4 separate regions of the Mus musculus genome follow, and regions 1, 2 and 3 are each reported to be linked to region 4. Evidence: microRNA targets listed by miRTarBase, many of them from high-throughput screens and not tested one by one. Region 4 holds a microRNA gene; each other region holds the end of a gene's coding sequence.
Evidence for each region. The annotated mature microRNA mmu-miR-181a-5p reads AACAUUCAACGCUGUCGGUGAGU and lies in region 4 at 4,452-4,474, shown strand. An mRNA with a match to its seed (bases 2 to 7 or 8) in the 3' UTR can be bound and repressed. Matches are read on the target gene's strand: a 7mer-m8 pairs with bases 2 to 8, a 7mer-A1 pairs with bases 2 to 7 and ends in A, and an 8mer does both.

Region 1: miRTarBase lists Klf3 as a target of mmu-miR-181a-5p. Seed matches in the 3' UTR shown: 7mer-m8 at 4,377-4,383.
Region 2: miRTarBase lists Dnaja4 as a target of mmu-miR-181a-5p. Seed matches in the 3' UTR shown: 8mer at 6,315-6,322.
Region 3: miRTarBase lists Plekha1 as a target of mmu-miR-181a-5p. The part of its 3' UTR that is shown has no 7-base or 8-base seed match.

Annotation. Positions count from the first base shown.
Region 1 is chr5:64,828,355-64,835,477 of GRCm38, forward strand. Klf3 (Kruppel-like factor 3 (basic)) reads left to right here. Exons shown (of 6, transcript NM_008453.6): 6 at 623-4,547. The coding sequence ends at 804. Among named protein-coding and RNA genes, the nearest start is that of Gm31684, 15 kb to the left of the region's middle.
Region 2 is chr9:54,713,917-54,721,039 of GRCm38, reverse strand. It overlaps Dnaja4 (DnaJ heat shock protein family (Hsp40) member A4), which reads right to left. Exons shown (of 7, transcript NM_021422.4): 6 at 6,670-6,770; 7 at 4,723-6,579. The coding sequence ends at 6,364. Wdr61 (WD repeat domain 61) reads left to right here. Exons shown (of 11, transcript NM_023191.3): 9 at 688-780; 10 at 1,711-1,789; 11 at 3,605-3,887. The coding sequence ends at 3,694. Among named protein-coding and RNA genes, the nearest start is that of Mir5710, 9.2 kb to the right of the region's middle.
Region 3 is chr7:130,909,990-130,917,112 of GRCm38, forward strand. It overlaps Plekha1 (pleckstrin homology domain containing, family A (phosphoinositide binding specific) member 1), which reads left to right. Exons shown (of 13, transcript NM_001346515.1): 13 at 843-3,505. The coding sequence ends at 1,053. Among named protein-coding and RNA genes, the nearest start is that of Mir7061, 5.3 kb to the left of the region's middle.
Region 4 is chr2:38,848,290-38,855,412 of GRCm38, forward strand. Mir181a-2 (microRNA 181a-2) reads left to right here and starts at 4,446; the gene lies at 4,446-4,521. The region is part of intron 3 of Nr6a1 (nuclear receptor subfamily 6, group A, member 1); the gene reads right to left. It overlaps Nr6a1os (a long non-coding RNA gene), which reads left to right. Exons shown (of 7, transcript XR_866167.2): 3 at 3,926-4,070. It overlaps Mir181b-2 (microRNA 181b-2), which reads left to right and starts at 5,541; the gene lies at 5,541-5,629.

The DNA.
Region 1 (7,123 bases), not on the chromosome of region 4:
TACTTTAGAATGTTCTAAATTTCGAGTTAGGGATGGCCAGCTTGTATTACTGACTTTAATGCAGTAAGATTCCCCGCTAAGCACTGTTTAGCCGTGAGGGTCTTCTTCACACTGGCTCTCACTAGCACGTTCCCACACGGGCCTCCTGTTCCTCACATGTGAATGATGGATGGTTAGCCTTCAGGAAGGGGTGTGTGGAGGCCTGGTTTCCGAGAGGGAACTTCTGTTTTTAGAACATAGAGCCTTGAAGCACTGTCCGCCATGGCATCACTCACAGGGATGAAATAAGAAAGTGGGTTATTGAATTCTTTAACCGATGGCAAAGTGTAAGAGAGGCCCACAAGCTTTCAGTGCACAGGAAGGCTTAAGGCTTACACACCTACACATGCAGAATCCACAAGCTCCATGCTTGTCCCTCAGAATGGCTCTTGCTGCTTTTAATAGTTCTTTGTTGATTTTCCATGGACAATATGTTTGTTTCATGCAGCACCATGTTCATTGAGAGTTGTGTATGATGTTATCCCGAAGTCTGTATTTTCCGAGGGCATCAGTTCAAGTATCGTAGCTTCTCTTTTTATTCCCAACAAAGACAACAATTAAACTCTGCCTTGCCTTTTTGCAGGAGAAAAGCCGTACAAATGCACCTGGGAAGGCTGCACGTGGAAGTTCGCTCGGTCTGATGAACTGACGAGACATTTCCGAAAACACACTGGGATCAAACCTTTCCAGTGTCCAGACTGTGACCGAAGCTTCTCTCGCTCTGACCACCTTGCCCTACACAGGAAACGCCACATGCTAGTCTGAAAACCTGTCTCCAGCTCAGTGTGATTCCCCGCTCTTCCTGGCCTCTCTCTCTTTCTCTCTCTCTCTCTCCTATCTCTTTCTCTTCTCCTTCTGCCCGTTATCTAACTCATTTTTATATGTACATTTTAATTTCGATTCAGCTGGTCTGGATCTCTGAATTTATATCATTCAAGACTTCCATATGGTCAGTAGTTGATACTCTAACCCTCCCCTCCTTACCACGGGTCAGACCTAAAGAATGTGAACATTATTTTTTCCGGGGATGCTAAGCAAACCCTCCTTACAGATACATTTAATGTAACGAGAACAAGGGAACATGTAAACTAACGACCAATTTGTCGGTTTCTCCATGTATTCCTCAAAAGAATGTCAAAGTAAATGTATTAGAAATGCAGTATCCAGCCTATTAGTCCTTGCCAGAGACCTTCGACTTTCTGCCACATTTTGTGTTTGACGACAGAAAGAATTCTGTCCCTGTTACCAGCTAGCGAGACCTACAAGATGTCAAGCTGGACCCACCGTCTCGCCTTCGCCCTCCCCACGATTCGCCTGTTGACCTGGCTCACCTGCTCAGCTAAATCAGCTCCTTTGTCCTCTGTGGCACCTGAAGCTCATGTGGAGGGCTTTGACATCCCTGGGAGCTGAGCAGGAGCTGTTGCCTTAGGTGGGCCATGTGCTCCCATAGTGTGAGGAAGAAGGAGAAGATATTGGAAATGGAGGAGGGAGTCAGCGATTCCTGGCTAGGACCGGCTGGACCATCAACATCTGGGAAATTCACATTAGCTGTGCAGTGCATTTGTTAAATGTCCATCCCCAGGCACAACTTGGCCGAGCACACCTTTGCTGCAAAGCTGGATACCGAGAGGGTTATCCATCTGTGCCACCACCACCTCCGTTCCTGCAGGATCCTTCATTGTCGATCATGAAGCCTTGAGAGTAAGGAATCCACAGAAATATTTGTTCAGTCATGTAAAAAAAAAACAAAAAACAAAAACTTTTGAGGCAGTATAAAATGGTCTCTTCTCCCCCCACCCCCCAACCTACTAAGAGTGTTTTTGCAAACAGGAAAACATTGAGTGGTACTAATACTCCCATATCCAATGAGCCACATAGCTTTCATATGGAGCTTTTCTGTGTGAGCTGTATGGTGCCAAACCAGCAATCATTTGTGTCTATGACACATAGTATAAAAGAGCATCCACTAAGCTTGAGCAGAGTCACTCAATTAAGACCTGAGTGACACTATTTGTAAATATACCTAGTGTGAAGCACATAGATCTTTATTTTGGTGACTTTTTTTTTTTTTTGAAAAATAGAGAAAACCACAATTCAGGGATTTATATATGTAGCTTGAAGATTCCCACAAGTTTCTGCCAGAGCTAGCAATTTCCTGTCAGGTACCCTGTTAGGACAAACCAGAAGCAATGACTCGTGTTGATGTTGCAGATAAATAGCACCATTATTTGGGGGGAAGGTTTTTTTTGTTTCGTTTTGTTTTTCAAAAGCAGGCTTTTGAACACCACAGTCTAAATGCCAATGAAAACAGTTCATAGATTGCAGAAATGTCACTGGTTCCAAATCTGAGAAATAAAATGGGCACAATGGTCAGATATGGCTGCCTCTGACCAGTAGTCCCTTCATCCCCTCACAAAGGATGGAGGAGAAGGGGGGGAGGGGAATCCTGAAGAGTTATCCCAGCCACAACTCAGGATCCAACACTACCTGAACTGGGAGGAACACCCTACCGGATTGTTCTTGGATGTCGGGGAGTGAGAGGTCTTGGAGCCCTGCACTTGCAGGGAACTTGATTTGATGGCACTATGTTCATAGTTGTGGGGGCTGCACTCGGGAGGCCCTGCTCAGCCCTGTGAACCAACTGAGGGGGGAATGTGGGTAAAAACTGCAAAGAAATGTTATCTTAGCTCTTGGGTTCCTTTTCTTTCCCTTTTTAGCACTGAAAAAAAAAGTCTGTTTGGGCTATTAAAGCATGCTAATTAGGCTCTTGCCTTTCTTTTTGTTTGCAACGATGACATGAATTGAGGAGTGAGTGTCTCTTGGGAAAGCAGGGTCTCCCTTGTCAGTGTTCCTTAGCGTTCATGCCACCACCATCGTGTCTTGAAGTGGTTCTTCTGCAGGGCACTGAAGAGTCCCGTTTGTTTAGTGTTTGTTCCAATTTGTATGCTCCGACCCAGTGAGCAGCGGGGTAGGGTGCAAGGAAGGACCCTTAGCTTTGCTTCAAACCAAGAATAGTTAATAGCACCATGGCGTATTTAAATTTTGTTCAAAAGTCTTTATTATATTACTCTTTAGCTTGCTTAGATCATGTTAACAGAAAGATCCATTTTAACTCTGAAAGAAAAGTAACCCAGAGAAGCCATTCTCTAGTCCCATGCTAGTCTGATATAATTTTAGTTAATTGGCCCTTACCAAATTTCCTATATATATATATATATATATATATGTATGTATGTATGTATGTATGTATGTATTTGTATTTTACTATGATAGTTGAGAAATTTAGTCTCTTAGTATTCTTTTGTTTGGTTGTTTGGTTGGGTTTTTTGTCTTTTGTTTGTTTGGGTTTTTGTTTTTGTTTTTATTTTAGCTGTTTTTGTGCATGATACAAGTTAAGATGCCCTGGATGTTTGATTTTGGATGACATGCTATGTTCTTGTCAGTGGTGGTTCATTTGCAGTAAATTGATGAGGACAGGCTGTAAACATGAAGCCAGCACTGTGTAAATCATTACAGAGTTCATTCAGTTACTGCTCAAGTCTCATCTGGGGGAAGTTCCAAAAATAACCAACATCTTGTGTTTTTGAGTTTCACAGTGGGAAGGGTACATCATTAAATGGGCATTTTGCACTCGAAAGTCACTTGGTTTGGAGACTGTGTGTAGCATAGCTTTGTTCAACTAAGAAGATACTAAATATGCAGATGTTGCAAGAGCCTTGGAACAGAATTACAGGGGAGTGATATATGTATATGTATGTTTTATTAAACACCCACCTGCACTATCAGTATTGCACTAATGTGGAATTTGAGAGACTATTGCTGATATTGTAATCTGCGCACCATTCCTTAGATTGTTAAAAAAGACAATCTCAGAGATCAAAGGTTTTATAATTTGGTTTGAAATTAGAATTGTCTTGAAGGAGTTGCTAACGTACATGAAGTCACTTGAGTTCTCTTTATTCTCTTCTTGGTCAAGGTTAACAGTTTCTAAACGATTGCAAATTCACTTAAGTAATACATTTACAAAGCCATTTTACATGCATTAAAAGAGGGCTACAATGTGTTTTACAAATACTAGCACTTTTTTTTCCTGTTATGTACCTAGTGTTAGAGGGTCAGAATAATCTTTCTGCTTGGCATCTCTTAAAACCTACCTGCAAGCATAGCAGGCTTATTGCATTTACAGTTCTTTAATACTTGTATAAACTATGCAGAAATTTTTAATAAAGTGTAATATATTTTATAAGCTAATAAGACTGAATGGGTAAAGGTTTTTAGCATGCATTAGTATACTTGCAAATACTGAAACATTTTGGTAATCTTTCTTACTAAAGATGTGAATGTTTAATGTACCTTCTGTTTCTACCCTGTAGTCCAATGGGAATTCAGTAATGACATTTTGTCATGTCAAACTGTGAACATAAATTTGTACTGTACAGTCCTCATATACTATATACAGTATGCAATATATGTATTATATACTTGTTAATAAAACCATCTGAATATTACACATAATCATGTGATTACTATAGGTAGTATTTACCAGGAACAAAGACGTGAGAGATGTAAAGTTTCAAAGTAAGTCACTGATGAGCAATAATTTTTAATGGTTAGAAAAGGAAGCCCATCTAGCCAGTAGGTACACCACAGGAGTGAAGAGTCTTAAAGCAATGACCCAGTAATGTCCAGGAAGAGGAAGGCTCAGTTTAAGCCATAGAACTGCAGACATTCATCTGTAAATACATCCAGTGCATTTTAGAAGAGCTTTGTTTCTCCATCCTATCCAGAATGCCTCCTTGCTGTGTGTGATGTTCCCAAGGAAACTCTTCCCAGAAGAGTCTGCCTCTGTAATTCTGCTCCCTTTTCTTATTCACAGCTGATTCTCCAGCTCCATTAGCCCAGCAAAGCAGACTTTTCACTCCAGTGATACTGGATCTTGCTAATCACAGCTAATTCTGGTTAAGAATTAACCAGAGACCACAGATTCATAAAATATCTCACAAAGGGCCCTAGTAGAATCCTTTAAAGGACTCTCAAACTTCCCTTTGAAACTCCCACAAGCCAGGCCTCCCATCATGTGCATTGCTCTGAACATTGTCTCCCAAGCTTCCAGACAACATTCCTCTAATCCCTCATCACTCAATGGTTTTTCCAGCCCCAAGTACAAGTGCCACTGTAGTCCACACATTGTCAGGTCTGACAGAGTAACACCCTACTCCTGATACTAATTTCTGCCATAGAGATAAAAACAGCATGACTGTAAGGAGGGAGGGTTTGGTTTTTTTATGCTCCCATATCCTAGTCCATCACTGAAGGAAGTCAGGGCAGGAACTCAAGCAGGTGAGAACCTGGAGGCAGGAACCTATGCAAGAGGAAGGAGTGCCATACAAGCTTGCTCCCCATGGCTTATTCAGCCCGTTTTTGTTTTTTGTTTTTTTAATATTTATTTATTATATGTAAGTACACTGTAGCTGTCTTCAGACACTCCAGAAGAGAGCATCAGATTTCGTTACGGATGGTTGTGAGCCACCATGTGATTGCTGGGATTTGAACTCAGGACCTTTGGAAGAGCAGTCGGGGCTCTTAACTGTGAGCCATCTCACCAGCCCTCAGCCTGCTTTTTCAATACCATCTAGCACCATCTGCCCAGAGGTAGTACTATCCACAATGAGTTAGCCCTTCCCCCCACCAACACCGACCCCCAACAACCATCAATCAAGAAAATGCCCTATAGATTTGCCTACAAGTAATCTGGTGGGGATGCATTTTCTCAGTTGAGGTACCCTCTTCTCAAATGACTCTAGGTTGTGTCAGGTTGACAAAAACTTAGCCAGCACACTATCAGTGTGTTCTCCAGACAGTTCTTGTGCTAGAGAGCAATTCTTCAATCCAGCAGTGTGGGAGATGGGCTCTAATGGGAAACACTTGAATCATGGGGTCGGGCTCCCCCATAAATTCCTTTCTCATGTGTCAGGGTTAGTTCCTGCAGGGCTAGATTGGTCATCTTGAGAAATTACAATCTGAGGCAATCCTTTGGGTTTTTTCCTATTGCACACAGGTTCATTTCCCTTCCTCTTCCAACTTGGCACCATGTTAAGAGGCTGCACAGGGCCCTCACTTTATCTTGGACTTCCCAGCCTCCAGAACTGAAACTAAATTTTGCTTTTATAAACTATAAACCTAGACCCAAGGATTGTGTTACAGCAACAGGAAATGAAACTAGGACTTCTAAAAAAATAAAATTATTTATTTATTTGGAGGAAGGAAAGGGAAAAAAATATGATTATAATCTCAAAAATAAAAGACAAATTGTTGCAAAATACTCTCTCTCTCTCTCTCTCTCTCTCTCTCTCTGTGTGTGTGTGTGTGTGTGTGTGTGTGTGTGTACATACATGACAATGCTTACATGTGGAGGTGCAAGGACAGTTCACAGGAGTTGGTTTTCTCCTTCCACCATGTGGGTCCCTGAGATCAAATTCAGGGCAACTGGGTTTGGTGGCAAGATCCTTTACTCACTGAGCCATCTCACCTGCCCTAAGTTTTTAATCTACAATTAATTAATTAATCCTAATTAATAGGATTCATACCTTAATAGGTCAGGAACAGATAGTAAGAGCTTCATAGAAGTACATAAATCTGAATAAATATGACTTTTCAAGCCTTCAGTGGTCATGAATAAAAACAACAGATGGTTTCTGACTAGGGTTTTAAACCTTTTTTTTTTATTGTATTTTTTATTATTGTGGATGTGGACACACACTTGTGCAATGGAGAGCTTGTGGAAATCAGAGAACAACTTATGGGAGTTGGGTGTCCTTCCACCATGCAGAGGATAGGACTCAGGCTGTCAGGTTTGTCAGCACTGAGCCACCATGCCAGCCCTAGAGTACTTTTTGCTCAAGACAAAATATAATAACTCTCATCTATTCCCATTATTCTCACACCAAATGAATTTGTTACTTACATGTCATGGTAGGGATCAAAGCACTTGACAGAGGGGAGGGCAGGTTTTGGTTTCAAGGGTTTCAGTTCGTCATGATGGGGAAGGCATGACAGTTCATGTAGGTGAAAGCTTGTAGCAGAA
Region 2 (7,123 bases), not on the chromosome of region 4:
GGTTGGTGGTTTAGTCCCAGGGAGCTCTGGGGGTATTGGTTAGTTCATTTTGTTATTCCTCCTATGGGGCTGCCAATCTCTTCAGCTCCTTGGGTACTTTCTGTAGCTCCTTCGGGGTTTTGTTTTATTTTGGGTTTTGACAGGGTCTTACTAAAAAGTCCTCCCTCCCTGACCTGGAACTCAATATGTAGACCAGGCTGGCCTCGAACTCACAGAGATCTACCTATTTCTGCCTCCCAAATGCTGAGATTAGGGGCGTGCACCACCACACCGGTGCAGTTGCCTCCTTTGGTCTTGACTAGATTGCAGATGATCTCTTTGAGCCACATGTTCTGTGAAGGATATTACATCCTGCTGCTTTCCTGCCACCATGGGAAGGGCCTGTTGCAGGAGGGTCTGGCTAGCCTGCTCACCCCTGCTGCTGTGTGTCCTCATCTTGGAGTTGCCTGAGCCATCTCTCTGGCCTCCAAGCTCTTGATATTTTTAACTTAATGCTGCTCTAAAAATTTGTCTCTGGTGTTTGATGCTGCTTCACTAAAAATGGAATTTTTGACATATGGTCATTCTGATATTATTAGTTATATTATTAGTTAGAACTACTTAGTTATATTATTAATTCACTAACCAATTCATCAATTAGAGTTCCCCAAAGTAGCATCTCCATTGTTTGAAAATTTCTTCTTTCAGACAACATGCCAATTTGGCTGGCACACTGAGTGGCCATGCGTCCTGGGTGTTGAATGTTGCGTTCTGTCCTGATGACACTCACTTTGTCTCCAGGTATGTAGGAGTCTTAAATTTCTAAACTGCTTGGCAGAGGGAGCAGTATTCTGGGAATGTGCTTTAAAATTGAAAGACTACATTACATACAGATTTTTTTAAAATTCTGAGGCTAGAGAGATGGCCCAGCAGTTAAAGATACGTGGCGGCTCTTCTATTTCCAGCACCCACATGGCGGCTCACCACCATGTGAAACTACTCCCAGGGGAGCCCATGTTCTGGTCTACTGGAATACTCTCAGACAAAACATATGCATAAATAGAGTTAAAAACTTCTTTAAATTAATGAAGTACAAGCTTCCCAGGCTAGGCATGATGGTATAATCCCTTAACCCCAGCCTTGGAGAGGTAGAGGCAGGTAGACTTCTAAATTAAAGAGCAGACTAATCTACATAGTGAGTTAGAGCCAGCTAGAATTATGTAGTGAGATCTTGTCATCTCCCCCACCCCAAAATTCAAATTGCCTTTGTTTACTCTAGTTTTTAAAGGGTTTTGTTGTTTTTAAGTAAACTACTGAAATCTTAGATTTTTTCTTAGAAGTCTTTTCCACTTAGTATAACTCTGACATATCCCTTAGAATCTAATCTGCAGATCTGTGTGTTTATCGATGCTAGTGATGTTCAGGCCCCTGGAGGCCAAGGTGATTGAGAAACGTGGACTGGAGCTGATGAGCATTGCTCAATGGTTCTAAGCACTTTTGACATTTCTGCAGACCTCCCTCTCATCCAGGAATGGGTAGATAGGCTTAAGGCTCCTGATGACAGTACTTGGCAGGAGAATATTGGCTGCCCAGTGAGGAGATAGTCATCTGGGGACACCTGTACCCCAGCTCTGTAGCAACAAGGGACCCTGTAAAAGCAGAAGTGTGTGAGTCTGCAGAGGAGTGTAGGATAACTCAGAGTTCTCATCCTGACGTTTGCTTTTGAAACAGTTCATCTGACAAAAGTGTGAAGGTTTGGGATGTTGGAACAAGGACCTGTATTCACACCTTCTTTGATCACCAGGATCAGGTATGGAATAGTAAGCATGTAAACCCCTCCCATTTACGTTTCTTTTATAGTCTTTGTGTTGGAGTTAAGAGTGACAGATATGAGGCAAGCCCCCCAACATGTGCCAAAACACAGGACTTAGCCACACTCCTCCTTTGAAGTCACACACCTATGCCTGGGATCCTTTTCTGGGTACTTGTAGAAGGCCTTCTTCTTTGGGTGGTTCCACGGCTTAACGTAATCATCGTTTACACTTCTGGAGTTATCCAGGGATATGATTTAATATATAGGTCAGAGAATGTTACAGGTTGTTCACTTGTAATAATAGTACTAAACCTGGTTTCCATCTTTGTAAGGCAAAGGAAATGGTAACATCTTTGTAGGATTCTTCTTGGTCCTTACTGTTTATAAGAGTCTCCTGGGAGATCTTAACATGCCACTTGTTCGCTGAGGGCAGTGGTACATGCTGCAGTCTGCCTTGGAGGCAGAGGCTGGAGGATCTACATTGGTAGTTCCTTACCTGGCATGTGTCAGGTGCCAGCGTCAGCCTTCCATACTGAAGAAAATGGACTCTGACCCACCTGGTGCCTCATGGGCCTTTCTTGACCAAGGGAAGGGGATTTTAAACAGTCTTGCACTGGAGCCCAGACTGGTCTTGAACTTAGTGTAGTCTGCCTGCCTTTGTCTGGGACTGCAGGTGTGAACCCCTGGCCCTGCTGAGACTATGTTTCAGCCTCTCCTGCATGTTGCCATCACTGCTGATTCCAGCCACTACAGGTAGCAAAGGGTCGAGAGCCAGAGCCATGGTTCTCAACCTAGAAGTCAAACAACCCTTTCGCAGAGGTCACATATCAGATATTTCCATAACAGTAACACTTATGTTAACACAGTAACCATTATGAAGTAGCAACTAAAATAAGTTTATGGTTGGGGATACCACAACATGAGGAACTGTATTAAAGGGTCACACATAGCACTAGGAAGGCTGAGAGCCATTGGTCTGGAGGAACTAGGCAGCATAAAAATTAAAGTGCTCAGAGCAACATCGACAAGAAAAAATCAGCAGATGATTAATTTGAATGCTTTTACATATCTTACACGCTTCTGGGTGTATCTTATGCTTAACCAGCGTAATTACTATTTATACTGCTTTGTGTTTGTTAAATTATTGCAGTGAAGCTGAAGGGTTGAATCTTGGTAGTTCACTACTGACTTTAAGCATTTTTCTTAGTCAGTCCTAGCTGTGTTGCTTATTTTGTGGGTTTGTTGTGATGGTGCTTCAGAGAAAGATGTTTGGAATGGAAGTGAAGCCCTCATATGGCCTAAACCAAGGTTAGCCTCCAATCTCAAGGCAAGGGCACGGCCTGACAGTGATAATTCCTAGTAATTACACAGTTAACTCAGCCACGTTCATTGTGAGAGAGAAAATTGGCTGTATCCAGTTCAGTGCACAGCCAAGGAAATGAGTGGTGCTCAGGAGCTCTTGGCTCTTTGGGAAAGGGTAAATATTGACCTTGTTGGGGGTAGGCATGAGTGGTTTGTATTGCAGTTTTCCCTACAGGCTCCTCCTGGAAGCATAGTGCTGGCCCAGGCAGGAATACACTTCATGGCAGGACCCTGGATCTGAATCTTTGAAAGGGTAGTTGATTGTCGTTATCTTAGAGAGAAGTACTATTCCATAGCCAGAGGAAGTGGTCCACTTAGAGATTAGGCTCCATCCTTGTGGACCTTGGGCTAGTCTAGATTCAGAAGGAAGAGTACTCACTCCTTAAGCATTCCTTACCAAAAAAATACAGGAATTAGAAGGCTTTATGGCTTTATTTCTTTAATTTGCAGGTTTGGGGAGTAAAATATAATGGAAATGGATCAAAAATTGTATCTGTTGGAGATGACCAGGAAATTCATGTCTATGACTGCCCAATTTAAACACCAGCATCCTCGGGGCTAGGGCCTCAGACTACACAGGGTTGATCATGACATTCCTCAGATTTTTTGGCATACTTAAAGTACAGCATATATTGTAGAACTTTTGTAGATACAATATAAATTTTTCCTGTTTTATTGGAAATGTTCTTCATATTTTAATGTAAATAAAGCATTCTTAATGCAACCACCTGCATTTGTGAACGTGCTGTTCTTTTCCTAGGAGAGCAATTGACGGTTAGTGAAGGAGAGTGCCTGCCTGAGAGCGGAGATCCAGGTGCTCACTGGGTAGAAAGGCAGCTCTCTGTTCCCAGGTGATACCAGCCTATTTCAGAATGGAGTTCTGAAGGAAACAGGCTGAGTGCACTGGAACTTGGTGTCATCCTACCTGCCTGAGCATCCCTCCATGTGTCTATTTACAATGCCCCCTTTACCACACCCTCTCTCCCTGTTCTTTTTAGAGAGGTCTGACCTACTGGCAGCCTGCCTTAGCCCTTGTGGGCTCAAGACTAGTGGACAGGGCTAAACACTGCTGTGCCTCAGACTGAGTTCCAGCACCTTAGGTCTTCTCTGCAGTCACCTCTGGACTGGGTCTGCATGGTAATGGGGAAGGTTTCAGACATTAACATCCTAGTGCTTGTTGCTTCTTACTGAAACTCTGTGCCTGGCCACATTGTGCCTGTCCTCAGGCCTAGCTCCTTAGAATAGTCCAGGCTGGTTTCCCACCTCCCTTGCTCACTCCCCTGTAGCTACACTGTCCTTTTTCCCTGGCCTCAGTGTCTCTTCCTCAGACAGGTCTACACCCTCACAGTTCAGAGGCTCTACAGATGGCAGCGTCTCAGAGTCCTTGTTCCCCATCCCCTTCTGCTCTTCCCCACTACTCCAGCTCTCTACTGTCCTTCACTCCGATTGGATCGCTGCATTCATCCCAAGTCAGAGTTCCCCAAGAGAAAGCTTATTCTATCAACCAGTGTGAGATAGTCTAGCACGTTACCCTGTTAAGTGCTAAGAAAAGAAAAAGCAAAGCCATTTGTCTCATACCAGTTCAATTTTAATTTTAAAGTGGAAAGTGTACAGGTGGGACAGTTAAGCAACACTCTGTAGATTCATAACAAAGAGCTGAGTCTAGTTTTATCCTACACAAGCTAAGTAGTAGCTCTCCAACAGTGATTTATTTGTAAGTCACAGCACAGAAACACCACCCTGGAGTTGTGGTCCACTTATTAATTGGAGGAAGCAGTTTTAAGTCTGTCATGGCCTGTGGTCAAAGTGAGCACTGTACTTTGAAAACGTATGTTTTACTAGCCAGCAGTGTTCTTCAGGAGCCTGGTCCTGCTAGCTGGCTTACTTGACCAGCCACAGGTCTCATCTGCCCTTTGACCGCCCCCAGGAGAGGTTCCTGGTCTGTGTCAAAGTCTGGTACCATAAAAACCAAGTAAGGATGGATCTGACAGGTTATCCCAGCAGCTTATAAAGCAGGGTTTTTAACTTCATTTGTAGAAAAGAAGGGAGAGGTTACGGCTAGAGGCTGAGGTAGCCTTTATTTAAAGTGCAGTCTACTTGCCAGGAATAAAGTAGTAACTAGAACACATTCCCAAGCAGCTGTCATTGCCAGCCAACTAGAACCTGGTTGGGCCAGTTCTCACCACACATCACAAGCAGAAAGCCCTTTGCAGTATGGCTGTACAGTGAGAATGACGGGCCTTTAGGAAGGAGATAATACTGAGGGGTCTGTGCCATTGCACACCCTTAAGACGTTAAGCTGGTGTGCTGGGAACTAAGCCACCAGCACTCCCCTTTGGTTGTTTCTGCAGCTGGTCAGGGCTGCCAGGGATACATATGAAGGGCTTAGCTTTCCTTAGGGAAAGAAAGCACTTTGGTGGGACAACACTGCAAAGGTCGTCAATAGATGATCATTAAGAGCACAAAGAACAAGGTATGGGGTTACAGGCAAATGGCTTTATTGGCTTATTTAAAATGGGCTTGTCATCACAAGGCTTGGGAAGTTCAGAAAACTTCCAAAAGAGATGTTCAAACAACCCCCTTTCTAACCAGTCAAGGGGAAAGAACATTATGCCCTAGACTGTCTCTGCAGCTTTTGAGTCCAGCCTACTCTGTATGAACCAGGCATGCTGGGCCTACTGCAAGCCATATGTGGACTTTTACTATCTTAAGAGTTCTAGAGTCTAGATTCAGAAATGTTACTACCAGACCTGAGCTCATACCCTTGGTGACTCTGCCAAGGGAGGAAGGGGAGAAAAACCACAGACTAGAGATGGGCCAGACACCCACCTTCTGGGCCTTTGTTAGGGGCCAAGAGTGGTCCTCTGGGCCTACTGTGGGAACGAACCATGGCGAAGCCACTAAGAAGCACAAAAGGTCAGTGTGGTACTGGCATCTCCAAAATAAGTCCTGAAAGTACAAATGAAACAGATTCCATATGCAGACTAGAGGGGATTGAACTTAAAACATTTAAATATAAATCAAGCTATAACTTAAGTTACAACTAGAAGAGAAACAAGAAAACCCAAGAGATACTCAGCAGTGGAGACTGCTGAACACATACACGGGACACCCCAAACGTGAGGCTATTAAAGCGATGCCATTTTCATTGTGCCAAGTTTACATTCATCATGTACTAGAGTCCAACCAGGCCAGGCCACACCGCACCATCATGCCGTCTGGCACTGCACGCCAGCGCGGGGCTCTTCGTCATCTTCCTCATAGGCCTCCCTGTGCTGGCGCCAGCTCTGCTCGTTGGGATTGAACTCCTTCAACTCCACCTGATCCATGTCATCTGTGATCCTCACCTTCTGCCGAGGGGGAAGCAGAGCCTCCAGCTGAGGAAGCTTCTCCTGAGAGAGCCACTGTTTTTCAGGGAAGACTACCTGCAGAGGAGAGCACAGAGGGCGTGGGCTTTCTTTGCTTTCTGCCAAGGTAGTGGACGGTAGGTCTCATGAGAGTCGAGATGCACTTACTAAAAACTGTATGATCATCACCCCCTTCTCCAGGGGGGCTTTGTAGATGGGCATCCCCTCGTTGCGGATACACTTCAGGTCCCCATGCTTTATCACCTCACCTGCCACAAAGAAGGTTCATTTATGAAACAGGAAAAGGAGGGGAGCCTGGAAAGGTTAACCTCCCTCTAAGGAGAGCTAGGGTGGGCTCTAGTGGCCTTGCAGCGATGGACAGAGGATGGAGTCCTATCCCTGTCAGGCATTAAGCAGGGGCTGGGGCAGGAGACTGGCCCTGGCCCACATCAGGAAGCAGCAAGCACACTGAGACCTCTGCCATACTGGAGAACCTGGCTTCCAGCGGGGCCAGTGTGTGCCTGTCTCTTCTGGGAATTATGGATGTCACTAGCACAGACAAGATGACCGCTGCTCACAGCTGCAGGCAGAGCTTAGAAAGGGATTCCCAGGAGCCTCCCAG
Region 3 (7,123 bases), not on the chromosome of region 4:
CTGATCCAGGCAAACTTCTGCGTGCATCCATGCTGGATAAGCTGTCACCAGAATTGCATGGTGTTTTATAGCTCTGGTGAAGTTTTACCATGTGATGGTAGTGTTTGCTGACTGTGGTACTGTTTTCAAAGCCGCTAGTGTCCTAAATGAGCACACACCAGGAGCTGCGCAGCACGCTGTGCTGTCTTCAGATTTGTCCTTAGAAGTACAATCACGTCAGCATTTACAGCGGTTTTAAAAGTGATTCATTTGTACCCTTTTTAACATCTTAAGCCACTCGAATATGTGACTTACCCAAAATAAGCCAAATTGAACCAGCTGCAGTCAGTTGCCGTGAAATTAAGAGAAGCAGAAAGCAAGTTGTCAGGCTATGAGACAAAATCATGTCTGAAAAGTCTTGATTTTTGTTGATTAATTGTTGATTTTGTTGATTAATCTATGGCCTTGCTTTTTTATGTTTTACATTTTATCTTTTTTAATTCTTGGGATAATTCCCATAACTCTTAAATGCTGGTAGACTCTTCTTTCAACACAATTCAGTTGCAGTTGGAACACCGTATCTCGTTTTAGGCTGACTAGTGCCATAAGCTACCAAAGTCAGCTTTGGTGACAGAATTAGTTTCTTCGTGGAATTGGTTGTTGGCTTTCATTGCTTTGAACTCACCCCTAAAATGCATTGCTTTGGGAAGGAACTTGCACATTTACGCTGCATGGCTCATGCTTCTGCTTTGTGTGTATGTGTGTGTGTGTGTTGCTTGTTTTTCAGAGAATCAAGTCTCACATTGAGTGACTAACTTTGTCGTTGGTGATTGGCTGTGTCTAACCACCATTCCTCTTTCCAGGAGCATTCCGGCTGGCCTTCAGAACCCAAATTCACTGTCCGTCCTGCCGGGGCCGCAGCCACCGCCTCACATTCCCCAGCCTCTCGCAGCCACTCTCTGGTCTCAGGCTGTGCCATGGAGAAGCGAGGAGTTTACCAATCTCTTGCCAAGGTCAAGCCAGGGAACTTCAAGGTCCAGACTGTCTCTCCAAGAGAGCCAGCTTCCAAAGTGACTGAACAGGCTTTGCTCAGACCTCAGAGTAAAAACGGCCCTCAGGGAGAAGATGGCGAGCCAGTGGACTTAGATGACGCCAGCCTGCCAGTCAGCGATGTGTGAGGAGGCTCTCGTGGGCTGCCTGCGCCACTCACCCTCAGTGTCCTTCCGTGAGGCTTCTCGCCAAAGATGATAGAGGGTGAATGATCTCAGTGCATATGTCATACTGCCTTGTGGGTGGACTCTAAGTTGGCAAACCAAGGATTTAGGGAGTGGCCTAGTCAACATAATTCTTTAAGAAAGGAAGGAGAAAAGCTGTGTCCATAGTGACTGTTTGAAGCTTTATATGTTTGGGTGGTGAAAATGTGTGTGTGTTTTTTTTTTTCTTAAGTGACTTTGAAATTTTAAATAACAATTTAAAACATTAAAATTTCTTATTATCTTGGTCATTTAAACCTGCTAATATGACTCCCTTTGAAATATTCAATATTTACACATTCTTATCAGCTAAAATTATCAAGTGGGCCATTCCCAGATGAAAATTTCTAATCTCATGAGGTCTGTGGTGCTGCAGAATTTATACTGCAATGTGGACTGTTTAGAATTCTAACCATTTATGATATTCTGGCTGTCCAGGTGAGTGGAAATTTTTGCATAGATTTGACTAGATGATTGGTGTAGGTGGCAGTGGAACAGGGCAAGCAGAAGTGGGGAGACTGGAGGTCAGCTATAGCTAAAATTGTTATTTCTCTGGGGAGGGGACTTTTTTTATCTTTATTTTTATTTTGGAGATTGGATTTTTCTATGTAGCTATGGCTGTCCTTGAATTCTCTCTGTAAACCAGGCTGCCCTTGAACTTGTGATCCTTCTGCCTCAGTTGCCTCCCAAATTATAGGGTTATGTCACCAACTTGCAGCCTGAGACACTTGTTTTAAAAAGCTCAGTGTTTTATTTCAGTAAAAATTATTTGGTCATAAATTTTGGGAAGAACTGATTTCTTTTTTTAAATCAAAGTTTTGTAAATAGATCTTACTTCTGAATTTGAATCGGTGGAAGACCTCAGTTCACATGCTAAGTCAAAACGGCCCTTAGTCACGACCTTGTTGTGGCCCCTCCCTTGTCATCAGTAGTAACCTATACTCAAGTGCCTGTGTCTTCTCATCTCACTTAGGATTGTACCCCAAAGTCCTACATGATTGGCTTTAAATGTCCGGGAAAACTAATTTCAGTAGCGTAGTTTGATAGGTTAAATGAGATAGCATTTTTATATCAGAGACACCAGAATGTTGGTGGTCAACTACCTGTGCAATATTTATGTCTTGAAAACCAGATCTGAGTATGCATTGAACAGTGGGGATATTATAAACAGAAGCGCCTCTCTGAAGAACCCGGTTTCCGGTGTTGAGTGATAGACTGGTTTGAGCGAGTACTGTTTTGTGGTGACATCTTAGGTGTTTCCTTTCTCCCAGGCTGCTGCTCTGTGGTATTTCCAGTCTCAGACTTGTGTTGTGGAGTCATGGTGTTAGTGTTCTGCCTTTTTATGTTCTAAGACTACTTGTTAGAGGACGGAAGATTTGCTACAGTGGTCTAGAGTTAAAATGTGCTCTTTAGTTGCCCAGCACAAGAACGTACCACTCACCTTTTGTATTCATAAGCTAATATGTTAGAGTTCTATGTAGTTTTCTCTTGTGCACCTGCATCAGAAAACCATAGGACAACAAGGTGGCTAGGCAGTTATCACCCCTCTGCTGCCGTATTCATCACCCAGGCTCTCTTACAAGTTCCTTGTTAATGCACAAGCGTAGGGACCCTTGTACAGACTCTGGCAGTATTGATGAGCCTGGCGCTGTTTGCTTTGGTGCAGCCTCCACAGTGCGCGTTCATTTTATCATATTTTGGTATCGGTAATTTGATATATTTCATGGTGGCAAAATATTAGCTCTATTTTGGGACTTTTTCTAGACTTACATTTATTCAAATGCATAGGAATATGTCCTTGTGATTATCAGGATCTCCTAATATTTATCTCAATTCTTTTGTAAGCTTGTGGAAATTATTTAAGTATTTTAAAGCATATTTTCTTGTAAATATATCCTATCCGAAGTGTCAGCAGTTACGTTAGTTAATACCGTGTTATCTGCTGTATTTTCCCTGTGTGTATAATGTATCTCCTTTCAGAACAGGAATGTGCCTCCTAATGTTTACTGTTACCCTGCTGTCTCTGTATGTCCAGTCGGTGGAACACTGTAATGACTTGAGAATAAACTGCCCAGAGTTCATTTTCACTCACGTCCCCTTTTATTTGGTTCAGTGTTCATGTGAACAAATCAGTAGAACTGGTAAAAAACATTTTTGGTTAGTTCATTTACTTACCTTTCAGTAAACAGATTTCATTTCCAGGACAGCCAGGGTTAAAACAGAGAAACTCTGTCTTGAAAAGCCAAAAAATAAAAATAATTTTAAAAAGTTTCAGATCCTTGAATTCTTGGGGTTTGATGTTGCTATTTTTTTTTTTTTTGTTGTTGTTTTTGAGACATGGTATCACTTTGTAGTCTTGGCTGAGACTCAGTATGGAAACTGTGTTGGCATTGAACTCACAGAGATCCTCCTGCCTCTGCTTCCCGGGTGCTAGAATTGTAAAAGTGTATACCAGCAGGCCCAGCAGATCCGTGAATTCTTAAGACAGCTTCCTATGAAATTGTACAAAGAAAATGTGTGTTCAGAAAGCTTGCTCTTTTTACTTAAACAAAAACATATTCTGAAAATTAGATGTGGGAGTTGCCTGTGAAGCATGTTGGAGTCATCGAGCTGCATGGAGCCCCAGCTTACCGGTCAGGCTGACGGAGATCCCATGCTGCCTACACCTGTGGGGAGGAGTGGGCGGGGCTGAGATGTGCAGTCAGCCCCCAAACAAGTGCTCCAGAGCCTGCCTTCTGAAGTCTTCCTAATGGTAATGGGCTGTTGTGACCTGTGTGTCTAGAGCCCAGCCCAGTGCCTGCTGCCTGCCCAGAGTAAACACTTATCCGCTGAGCCGAGGACCGGGCCACTAATAGAAAATATATTGGCATACGTTTATAATTCGATTGAATTATATTCAATTTAGTCACCTGAAGTTTTAGAATTTCCAAAGACACCAGCAGTGATTTTAGATGTCTCCTTTTGTTCCTTGTGTCTAGTTCATTGTCAAATCCTGCTTTATTTCCCCATCTTCCTGACCATACCTCTGAAATGCAATGCACAATTGGGCCTGTCAGCAGTTCCTTATGGATGGGAGAGTAGCTGTGTGCGTGTGTGCGTGCATGCGTGTGTGCGTGCGTGCGTGTGTGTTTCTTCAGTGGTATACCGACTGAAAAATTGACTATGATCCAGTAAATGTCATCCCACCAATACACATGGAAGCAGCCTTTGTATAGTTAAACTCAGCGGGTCACACAAAAAGTCATGAAAGTAAAAGAGAATATAAGAAGGGTTTCAGCGTGGTGGCACATGCCTTTAATCCCAGCGCTCAGGAGGCAGAGGCAGGTGGATTTCTGAGATGAGGCCAGTCTGGTCTACAGAGTGAGTTCCAGGACAGCCAGGGTTTCAACAGAAGAGTGAGGGTGATAGAATATTGAAAAGGTAACAGGTAAGAAATGACTAATATAATGACTTCTTATATGCTATTGCTTGGGGGGTGGGGGGACTGGAGAACTCAGCAGTTAAGATTATGCAGAGGACCTGAGTTCAGTTCCCAACACCCACCTGTAACTCTAACTTGAATGAGAATGCCTCCTTAGGCTCCCGTATTTGTATGCTTAGTCTGCTGGTGAACTGGAAAGATTAGGAGGTGTGGCCTTGTTGGAGGAGTTCTGTCACTGGGGGTGAAGCCCACACCATGCCCACCCCTCCCTGTTGCCTTTGGATCAGATATAAGCTCTCAGCTACTACTGAAGTCCTGTCTTCCACAAGTGTTCATGTGTGTGTGTCCATGCCCATGTACATGTACACAGACACACAAAAATGATAGACATAAAAATGTTTAAATGACTTGAACTGAAAAATATTGCTGACCTGGTTAGTGTTTATAATGTTAATTGGTGAAATCCCAGTGGTCCACTGTACGGACATTAAAAGGAGTAACTTACTGTTCGTGTGATAACAGTGCCACCTTCTGGTATTGGTTGCTACATTTAACGTAATCTGACATCTACTTCACAGGAAGGAGAGAAGATACGTAGCAGCATAGGATAGCTTTGAAATTCATAGAAATGTTAAATCACCTTTCCCAAATAATAACTTTTGTAGAGGTAACTGTAGCCTCACATTCATAAGAAATAATCTAGAGAAGCTGGGATGTCTGTAGCAAGATGCTATCTTATCAAAAGATAGACTATAGGACATGTTGTATGCCCTTCACTCAGTTTTTCCAGTAATCCCACATAAAGACATAGTGTAGAATTGTAACCATGAACTAGGCTAGTGCTTAGTGGCAGTGCTTACCCACTGAGCCATCTTGATGGCTGATCAGGCTTGGGACCTAGCTTTAGAGAGTAGATAGGCAATAATTTTACATATGTGACCAGTGGGGCGTTTGCCTTTTAACCTCTTGGGGTTGGGATCGGATTATTTTTCCATGTGCTACAGACCCAAGGAGATAATGGAATTTGCCCAGTGTTATAGAAAGTTAAACATGATAAAATCTAGTGTGGAAAACTACCCACCTAGAGGCCGAGATGGTCAAAGAATGATGGTATAGTAAGAAGCAGTGTGGCAAAGAGGATTTCTAGAAAACCCCTGAAGAACTTGTGGATACATGATAAGGAGTGAGTAAATTGATTTGCAGTTTTTTGTTTTGGTTTTGGTTTTTTTTTTTTTTTTCGAGACAGGGTTTCTCTGTATAGCCCTGGCTGTCCTGGAACTCACTTTGTAGACCAGGCTGGCCTTGAACTCAGAAATCCACCTGCCTCTGCCTCCTGAGTGCTGGGATCAAAGGTGTGCGCCACCACGCCCGGCGATTTGTAGTTTTGATGGCTCAAAAAGGGATTGAGAATAAAGTCATTATCTTCAAGGTTCAAGGCTCCCAAGCTATGATACACAAATCTCTCCTTGCCCTAGTTTTTTTCAGAGGGAGAGGTAAGGAAGGGAAAGAATGTGAAGGGACTTTCCATGACCCAGGAGCTTGCCCCAGTTAAATCCTCCCACCCCTCATTCACTGTCCTAATGTGTTTTTCTGCACCATGATAAAACACCCTGACAAATTAGTGTAAGGGAGACAAGGTGTATTGAGCTCACATTTCCAGGTTACAGTCTATCACTGTTGAAAGTCAAGACAGCAGGAACTTGAAGCAACAGAACAGACAAATCACATCTGCAACCAAGAGCTCTCTGCTCTTGATTGCAGATGTGATAGCATCCAGATGCTAGCACTATACAATCCAGTATACTCTACCCAGGGAATAGCACCACCCAGAGTGGACAGATCTTCCAACTTCAGTTAACATAGTCAAGACAACCAATATGGATATGCCTACAGGCAGTCCCTCATTGTGACCCCTTTTCAGATGACTCAACATTTTGTCTAGTTGACAAATCAAAGTTAACCATCACATTTATTTCCAATGGGAGCCTTTGGTCCCAGGAACATCTGTGCACAGTAACCATCATGTATATCTAGCTCATAATTTTGGTTCCTGTAGGGACTGCTGTCACTGAGGACGCACCCAGATCAAGTTCTCAGCACAAAGAGGGACAAAGGGCAGGGGACAAAAGACAAAAGACAGGAGGTAGAGGATAAGGGTAAAGGGGTGACAAGGGATGGGGGTGGGGGAGGTGGGAAAAGGATTTTTATCATGGTGCAGGGATGGGAGTGGGGCACCAAAGGACTGCCTCTGGATAGGAGACAGATGTGGCATATAGGAAAATGGTGCTTTATAAAGGTACAAGGGGAAACCCCATGTTAGGATGAGGCATTTAATTTTAATTGGGCATGTTAATTAGGTGAGCCAAAGGAGGCTTTTGATTGCTGGACTTCAATGCTTTGATAGCTCATCCTTGGTAGTCGGTCTCAGGAGGAAGAAGTGGCCACATAAGGGAATAGATCTTGGGGGTAT
Region 4 (7,123 bases):
ATGTACCTTAACTTACAAAGTTGTATATGCAGTAAGTGTTGTCCCACATTTTCAACAGAAGATAACTGTCTGAGAGGTTACTATCACTATTCATCAGTGTTTGCACACTCCTTTTCTAGACTGTTCTGTCAACACCCTTCAGCTCTATCTCTGTCTAGTGAAGGTCCAACTACGTGTTTAAAACCCAGTGAAAATCCAACTAAGCATTTAAGTGATCTGTTTAGATAAAGCATTCCAAGCATTCAAGGCAAAGTTAACACTGTGATTCTATTCTTCCCAGCAGCATCTCAGTCATTCTCTTTGTCATCTGCTGAATATCTCATCTAGATGACACCATGCTCATGATATCAGGGACTAAGCATTCCCTAGGGTTCTCTACAGCTTCAGTCAGTAAAAAGGTGAAACAGTAGCACTTTAGCTAAAGAATGTCCATGCTGACATACTCCTAACTTCTGTTGTTGTTATTCCTTTATTTGTTTGTTTGTTTTTTTCCAGATAGGGTTTCTCTGGGTAGCGCTAGCTGTCCTGGAACTCACTCTGCAGAACATGCTGGCCTCAAACTCAGAGATGCCTCTGCCTCTGCCTCCTGAGTGCTGGGATTAAAGATGTGTGCCGCCACCACCACTTGGCCATTTCTATCATTTTCAAAATAAAAATTTAGCCTCAGGTAAATAACCACAAACGTTTCTAGCAATGCTCCCTGTATAGTACTTTGGTAGTAATTATATAGACTCCCAACTGTGACAAGAACTCTCTACTACTATGCAAACAGAAGAGTTTATACTTCTTGTTTGTCACAATTTCCAGAGGCCCAGAAAGACTCTAGAAACATTTACATCTCTGTGAGAAACATGAGTTTCAGTATTCTAGGTATCTCTGGAAAGAAAAAGAGGTAAGTGAAATTACAATGGCTTAGTAATTTCAGACAAATTCAAAACCAGGTTAAACTAAGAATTAAACATTGAAACCAAGTTAGGAAAAGTTCAGTTATATAACTGTCAAACAAGATGACCCTTAGCTTTTTAAATCCTTTAGAGTCCATCACTGCATAAGTACCATAGGTAAATTCATTTAAAAGTCCCACTGTGAGGCTGCAGAGGTGACTGGCTCCCTAAATGTGCTTGCTACATGTACCTCCCAGAGGTTGGGAGTTTGGTTCCCAGCAACAGGCAGGAGGCTCACAACCACTTGTAACTATAGCTCCTAGGTATGCAATACCATTTTTTTTCTTCTTTTGGACTCCACAGGTACCTGTTCATGTGTAGTGTGTGCACGCAAGCTCACACACTTTAAAAAAAAATTAACAATAACAATAAAGGGAAAATAACCAATGTATACTTTGTGAATGATGAAACTAAAATTAAAGGCTTAAGGGAAATTGAAGGAATAAGGATAATAAAGATCTTGAAAAGATAAAAAGTAGCCAGTTGTGGTGGCATATCCTTTCTTTAATTCAATCACTCCAAAGGCAGAGGCAGGTAAATCTCTAAAGTCCAGGTCAATCAGGTCTATAGGTTGAGTTTCAGGACATCCAAGACTACCCAGAGAAACCCTATCTGGGGGGGGGGAGGGGGGGATGAAAAGTATCTCAAATACAACAGGAAGTATCTCCATATCAAGAACAGGATTCTTGGAATGCTGTACACTGAAGAACAGGTTTTATATTTTAATTTGGTGCAGCAGATATCACTGTTTCTGATTATCTGTTCTAAGTAATATAAAGCTTGACATCTCTTAGGAGACAAAGGCAAAGACCATTTAAAATAAACCTAAGCCAGAGGTTTTAAACTACTACACAGGAAGATACCTTCCTTCCTACCTACCTTCCTTCTTTCCTTCCTTCCTTTCCTTTTTAAAAATTTATTTTACTTATATGAGTACACTGTAGCTGTCTTCAGACACACAAAAGAGGGCATCAGATCTCATTACAGGTGGTTGTGAGCCACCATGTGGTTGCTGGGAATTGAACTCAGGACCTTTGGAAGAGCAGTCAGTGCTCTTAACCACTGAGCCATCTCTCTAGCCCCTATATTTTCATTTCTTTGGGCTTCCATTTCACAACAACCGAACTCAGCAAAGATTACAAGAGAAGAATTTTGGGGCTGGTGAGATGGCTCAGTGGGTAAGAGCACCCGACTGCTCTTCCGAAGGTCAGGAGTTCAAATCCCAGCAACCACATGGTGGCTCACAACCATCCATAACGAGATCTGACTCCCTCTTCTGGAGTGTCTGAGAACAGCTACAGTGTACTTACATATAATAAATAAATAAATATTAAAAAAAAAAGAGAAGAATTTTGATGGAGAATGAAATAAAGTGATGCAGAATGTAAACAATTCCATTTGAACCAAATTCTCGCTGATTTTTTTTTTTTTTTCCCTCTCAAGAAGTGCCATTTGGCTACTTTAAAAATGAATCTTCATCACTGGGCATTGTGGCACACACCTTTAATCCCAGCACTTGGGAGGCAGAGGCAGGTGAATCTCTGAGTTCTGAGTTCGAGGCCAGCCTGGTCTACAGAGTAAGTTACAGGACAGCCAGGGCTATACAGAGAAACCCTGTCTCGAAAACAAACAAACAAACACAAAAAAGAATCTTCAGCTAGGTCAACCATCAGTATTTAAACCCAAAGCGGCTGGAGAAATGATGGCTCATTGGTTAAAGAGTACTGGGGGCTGGAGAGATGGCTCAGCAGTTAAGAGCACTAACTGCTCTTCCAGAGGTCCTGAGTTCAAATCCCAGCAACCACATAGTGGCTCACAACCATCTGTAATGAGATCTGATGCCCTCTTCTGGTGTGTCTAAAGACAGCTAAGGTGTACTCATATATAATAAATAAATAAATCTTTAAAAAAAAAAAAGAGTACTGGCTGCTTTTCCAGAAGACTCAAGTTTGATTCCCAGCACCCATATGTGGGCTTATAACCATCTAACTCTAGTTCCAGGGAATCTGACACATTCCTCTGGCCTTTGAGATTATCAGCCATATACTTAAGCAAACACCCATACACATAAAAATAATAAATTTAATAAATACATTTAAGAAAATATTTAAACACAAAGTATCCTAGATTAGATAGATATTAACCTCAATTCAGCCAGCAGCTCTACAAAGCTTCTATGTTGCTTAAAATAAAGCCAATATTCTGAAAAATGTTTAATTAGTTTTCAAGACTTTTCATAAAAAATATTCAATAAATAGCCAGGCATGATGATACAACCTTTAATCTTAGCACTCAGAGGAAGGCAGGCAGATCTCTGAGTCTGAAGCAGCCTGCTCTACATAAAGAGAGTTCCAGATAAGGGGAGGGGAAGGAAGGGGGAGGGGAAGAGAGGGAGGGATGGGAAGGGAGGAGAGGAGAAAAAAATGAGGAGGAAAAGAGGGAGGGAGGGGGGAAAAGAAAGTCAATAAGTAATAAAAAATAACCACCCAAAACAAAGATCAGATACATCTGGCATTTTAGTTGCTCTGTGTTCTTCTAAAGATTTTTATTTTTTAAGTATGTATGTATGTATGTATGTATGTATGTATGTATGAATGAATGTATGTATGTATGTATGTATGTATGTATGTATGTATGTATGTATGTGTGTGTGTGTTTGTTCAAGTGCCTGTGAAGGCTTGAGTTGACAGATCCCTGCAGCAAGAATTGGTAGTTACAGATTGTGGTTAAGACAGGTGCTGGGATCAAAGTCCCGCCTAGAAAAGTACAAGTTCTTATCTGCTGAGTCATCTCTCCAGATACACTCTCTGTGCTCTAGTACACATAGAATTTTTACTTTTCCTATATGGGGAAAAAAAATCATGGAGCATCACTAGCACTTCTGTGGTAATTTAGCAGCCCATGATTCTCAGCTACTGAGTTTTGTTTTTCATCTTTTTCTCTGAAATATATGACTTTAGATGTATTTTCTACTATTACAGGCAAACAAGAAGGAATTTGCTTGTTTGATTTAGCTCTGCAGTAAAGGTTCAAATCTGAGACTGGTAAAGGAAGGAGAAAGCAACATATCCAACCAATACTGGAACAATGAACTCTGGTGTTCAAGTTCTGGCTATGGAACTCCGGGTAAGTCTCTGTTTCTTAAGGAAAACACGGTTGGAATTAAATATACAAATCCTACTACACATAAGTCCCCAGCATGTGTTATGGTCTTTCTTGTTTTTGTACATTAATAATTAAAGTATTACTACAAAATTGCTATATTGATGTTTTCAGAATGATAGCATTGAAAAATATTTCCACAGATATCCACTTTTAGTCAGCAATGTAAACTGCAGTCTCACAATCCTGCAGCTCATTTCTGCTTTATGCAAACTAACTTCACAGTGTAAGTACTGTTAACTTGAAATTTTGGGAAGAATGTGAGAGACCCAACAGCAGTGGTCCTTAGAATATGAGAGCAGGCCAAAGATGGGCAACCAAGCCAGCCTTAAGAGGACTCCATGGAACATTCAACGCTGTCGGTGAGTTTGGGATTCAAAAACAAAAAAACCACCGACCGTTGACTGTACCTTGGGATTCTTACAGACAACAAGTTTCCTGAAGCAAAGGAGTAGGCTGTACAGATATATCATGTGACAGACATCACAAGATACAGTCCTGTGGCCTCTTTTCTAAAGGGAACCAGCAAGTTTTTTTTTTAAGCTTCCATGTATTTATATTGTCTATTTTTTGTAATTTCTTGATAAATAAGTGTTTCATTTTAACAATTTATGGGAAGTGCCATCATAGTACCAAATGCACTCAAATATCTTCTAGAAATGTGTCATTCTAGTCAGAAATAGGGTGTATTAAAAATGTCTATTTACTGTAGGAAAAAAATCTAGTTAAGTCTTTTATTCTCATTTCTTCTACGTCCTTTCAAATTTTTGCTTTAGGGTCAAGAGATTTACTCAGCAAAAATACTCACAGAGTTACTCACTGTCTATACAAATCATATTGTGCCTCCAGTTTCAGTTACTGCGGTTAGGGATTTGACATCTCCATGAGAGAACCAGATACATTTCCATCTCCATGTGCTAATTTAAGGAATTCTGGGTCATCTCTGAGCCTCCGTATCCAAGTATGTTTTCTCAAATGTAGAATAGGAGAGGAGAGAACCTCAGAGTTTTAATTTAATGAGAAGATATATGAGGGTACTTTGAACAGTTTCTGGCTCACAGCAAATGTTTACTACAAAAATTTTTACTTAACTGCAATCATAATCTATACTGCTTTACCTTGAAAAGGGCACTTAACGTCTCAGCTTGAAACAAAAGATGAAGCAATGTCTCTGAGGGCTCCTTTACAGACATCAACATCCAAGTCTCAGCCCATGTGATCAGAGCTACTTACAAGGTTCTCACATAGTGCCTTCTTCCTCACAACTTTTCTGTCTTGAACAAGTTCTTGCTATACAGTCAAGGTGATCTATAATTATGAGTCCACAACCATACAGATGACTAGTTACTAACATACAACAGACTTCAAAGAACCATAGTGGGAAGAAGAGCCAGGAGATAGAAAAGACCAAGACAATTTCATCAAAAGGAAACATTGATGGCTGCACTCAACATTCATTGCTGTCGGTGGGTTTGAATGTCAACCAACTCACTGATCAATGAATGCAAACTGCGGGCCAAAAAACGCAAAGAAACAAAAGTACTCCCAGAGAGTCACCAGAGTACGGAAGTACTGCTCCAGGTGGGACCTCAATCTTTTATCTAAAGTCTCTTTAGTTTCTTTGCTTCTAATATGGAAGAAGCTCTATAATTCCTAGTATTTTTTATTTTCTTCTCAAATATTCCAAGTTTTGGGAAATTTATATTATCACAGGCAAAAGGATTAATATGCCTTGACATCATAATATTTAAAAATAATACTTAAATATACATAATTATTTTAAAATAAAAGTATATGAAAAGAATTTAAATCTATCCTCATCTCAAATACATTCCTTCTATGAAAACTACATAAAAACATCCATTTAATAGTATTACTCACACAACATAAAGAAAAATTTTATACCTTTGAAGACTTATCTACATGTATAAAAACAGAGGCAAAACTGTAATTCAGGGGAAGTTCAATGGCAACAAAAGGAACTCACTGCTCTTCAATTTACCTTTACACTCAGCTATATACTTTAAGCTTAACAAACCACATTTACTATTATTTTGGCTATTTGTTAATTGTTTTTGAGACATAGTCTTACATATCCTATGCTAGGTAGCTGAAAGTGGCCTTGAATTTCTGATCCTATGTTCTCCTAACTAGGATCACAAGTGTGTATCACCAAGCCTGGTATTGAAACCAAGGTTTTGTATGTGATAGGCAAGCAGTCTACTAATAACTGCAGCACCTGTACTTTATGTTAGTGTACATGTACATATTTTGGTGCATGTGTAAGCCAGGGTAGGTGTTAGGTGTCTTCCTTAATCACTCTCCACTTCATTGTCAAACCTGAGGCATGCCAGCAGGCAACCAAGTTCCAGGAGGCATCTGTCTCCACTTTCTCAAGTCTGTATGTTTCCATGGTGAACACTCACTGAAGAAGTCATCTCCCCATTGCCATCGATCCTTTCTCATTCTTTTGAATGACTGTATGTCTTCGTATGAATACTTTGGTTTTTATTGTTTAGACACATTAAAAAAAAAAAAAAAACCTCTCCTGGCCAAAACCATCTATTCTTACTTTCCCAAGATACGTTCTTATAACAAGAAAAACAGCCAAGTGAGACAGGAAACATTTTATGGTAACAAAAACTAAAGGAGAGTATCAATTCTCCAAATCCTATACTGTAAGATAAGCCACAAAATATTTCCTGCTAATGAAATAAAAACATGAGCCTTAGTTGTAAATTAATTATTATACAACTGAAGTCTAAGAGAAAGACAACAGAAGTGTCTTGTCAGTTTAGTGTTTCAAACTATCTTTGCATGGACAGGAAAGGAGAGAATACAGTTGTACAGAGACAAGAATCAAAATAACAAAAGAAAAGAATTCAGTTACAAGAAAGCAGGGAAAGTGTGAGGTTGGCTGTCTGACACATCTAGTGCTGCTTGTTAAAAATGCATATTCCTAGCCGGGTGTGGTGGCACACGCCTTTAATCCCAGTACTCGGGAGGCAGAGGAAGGT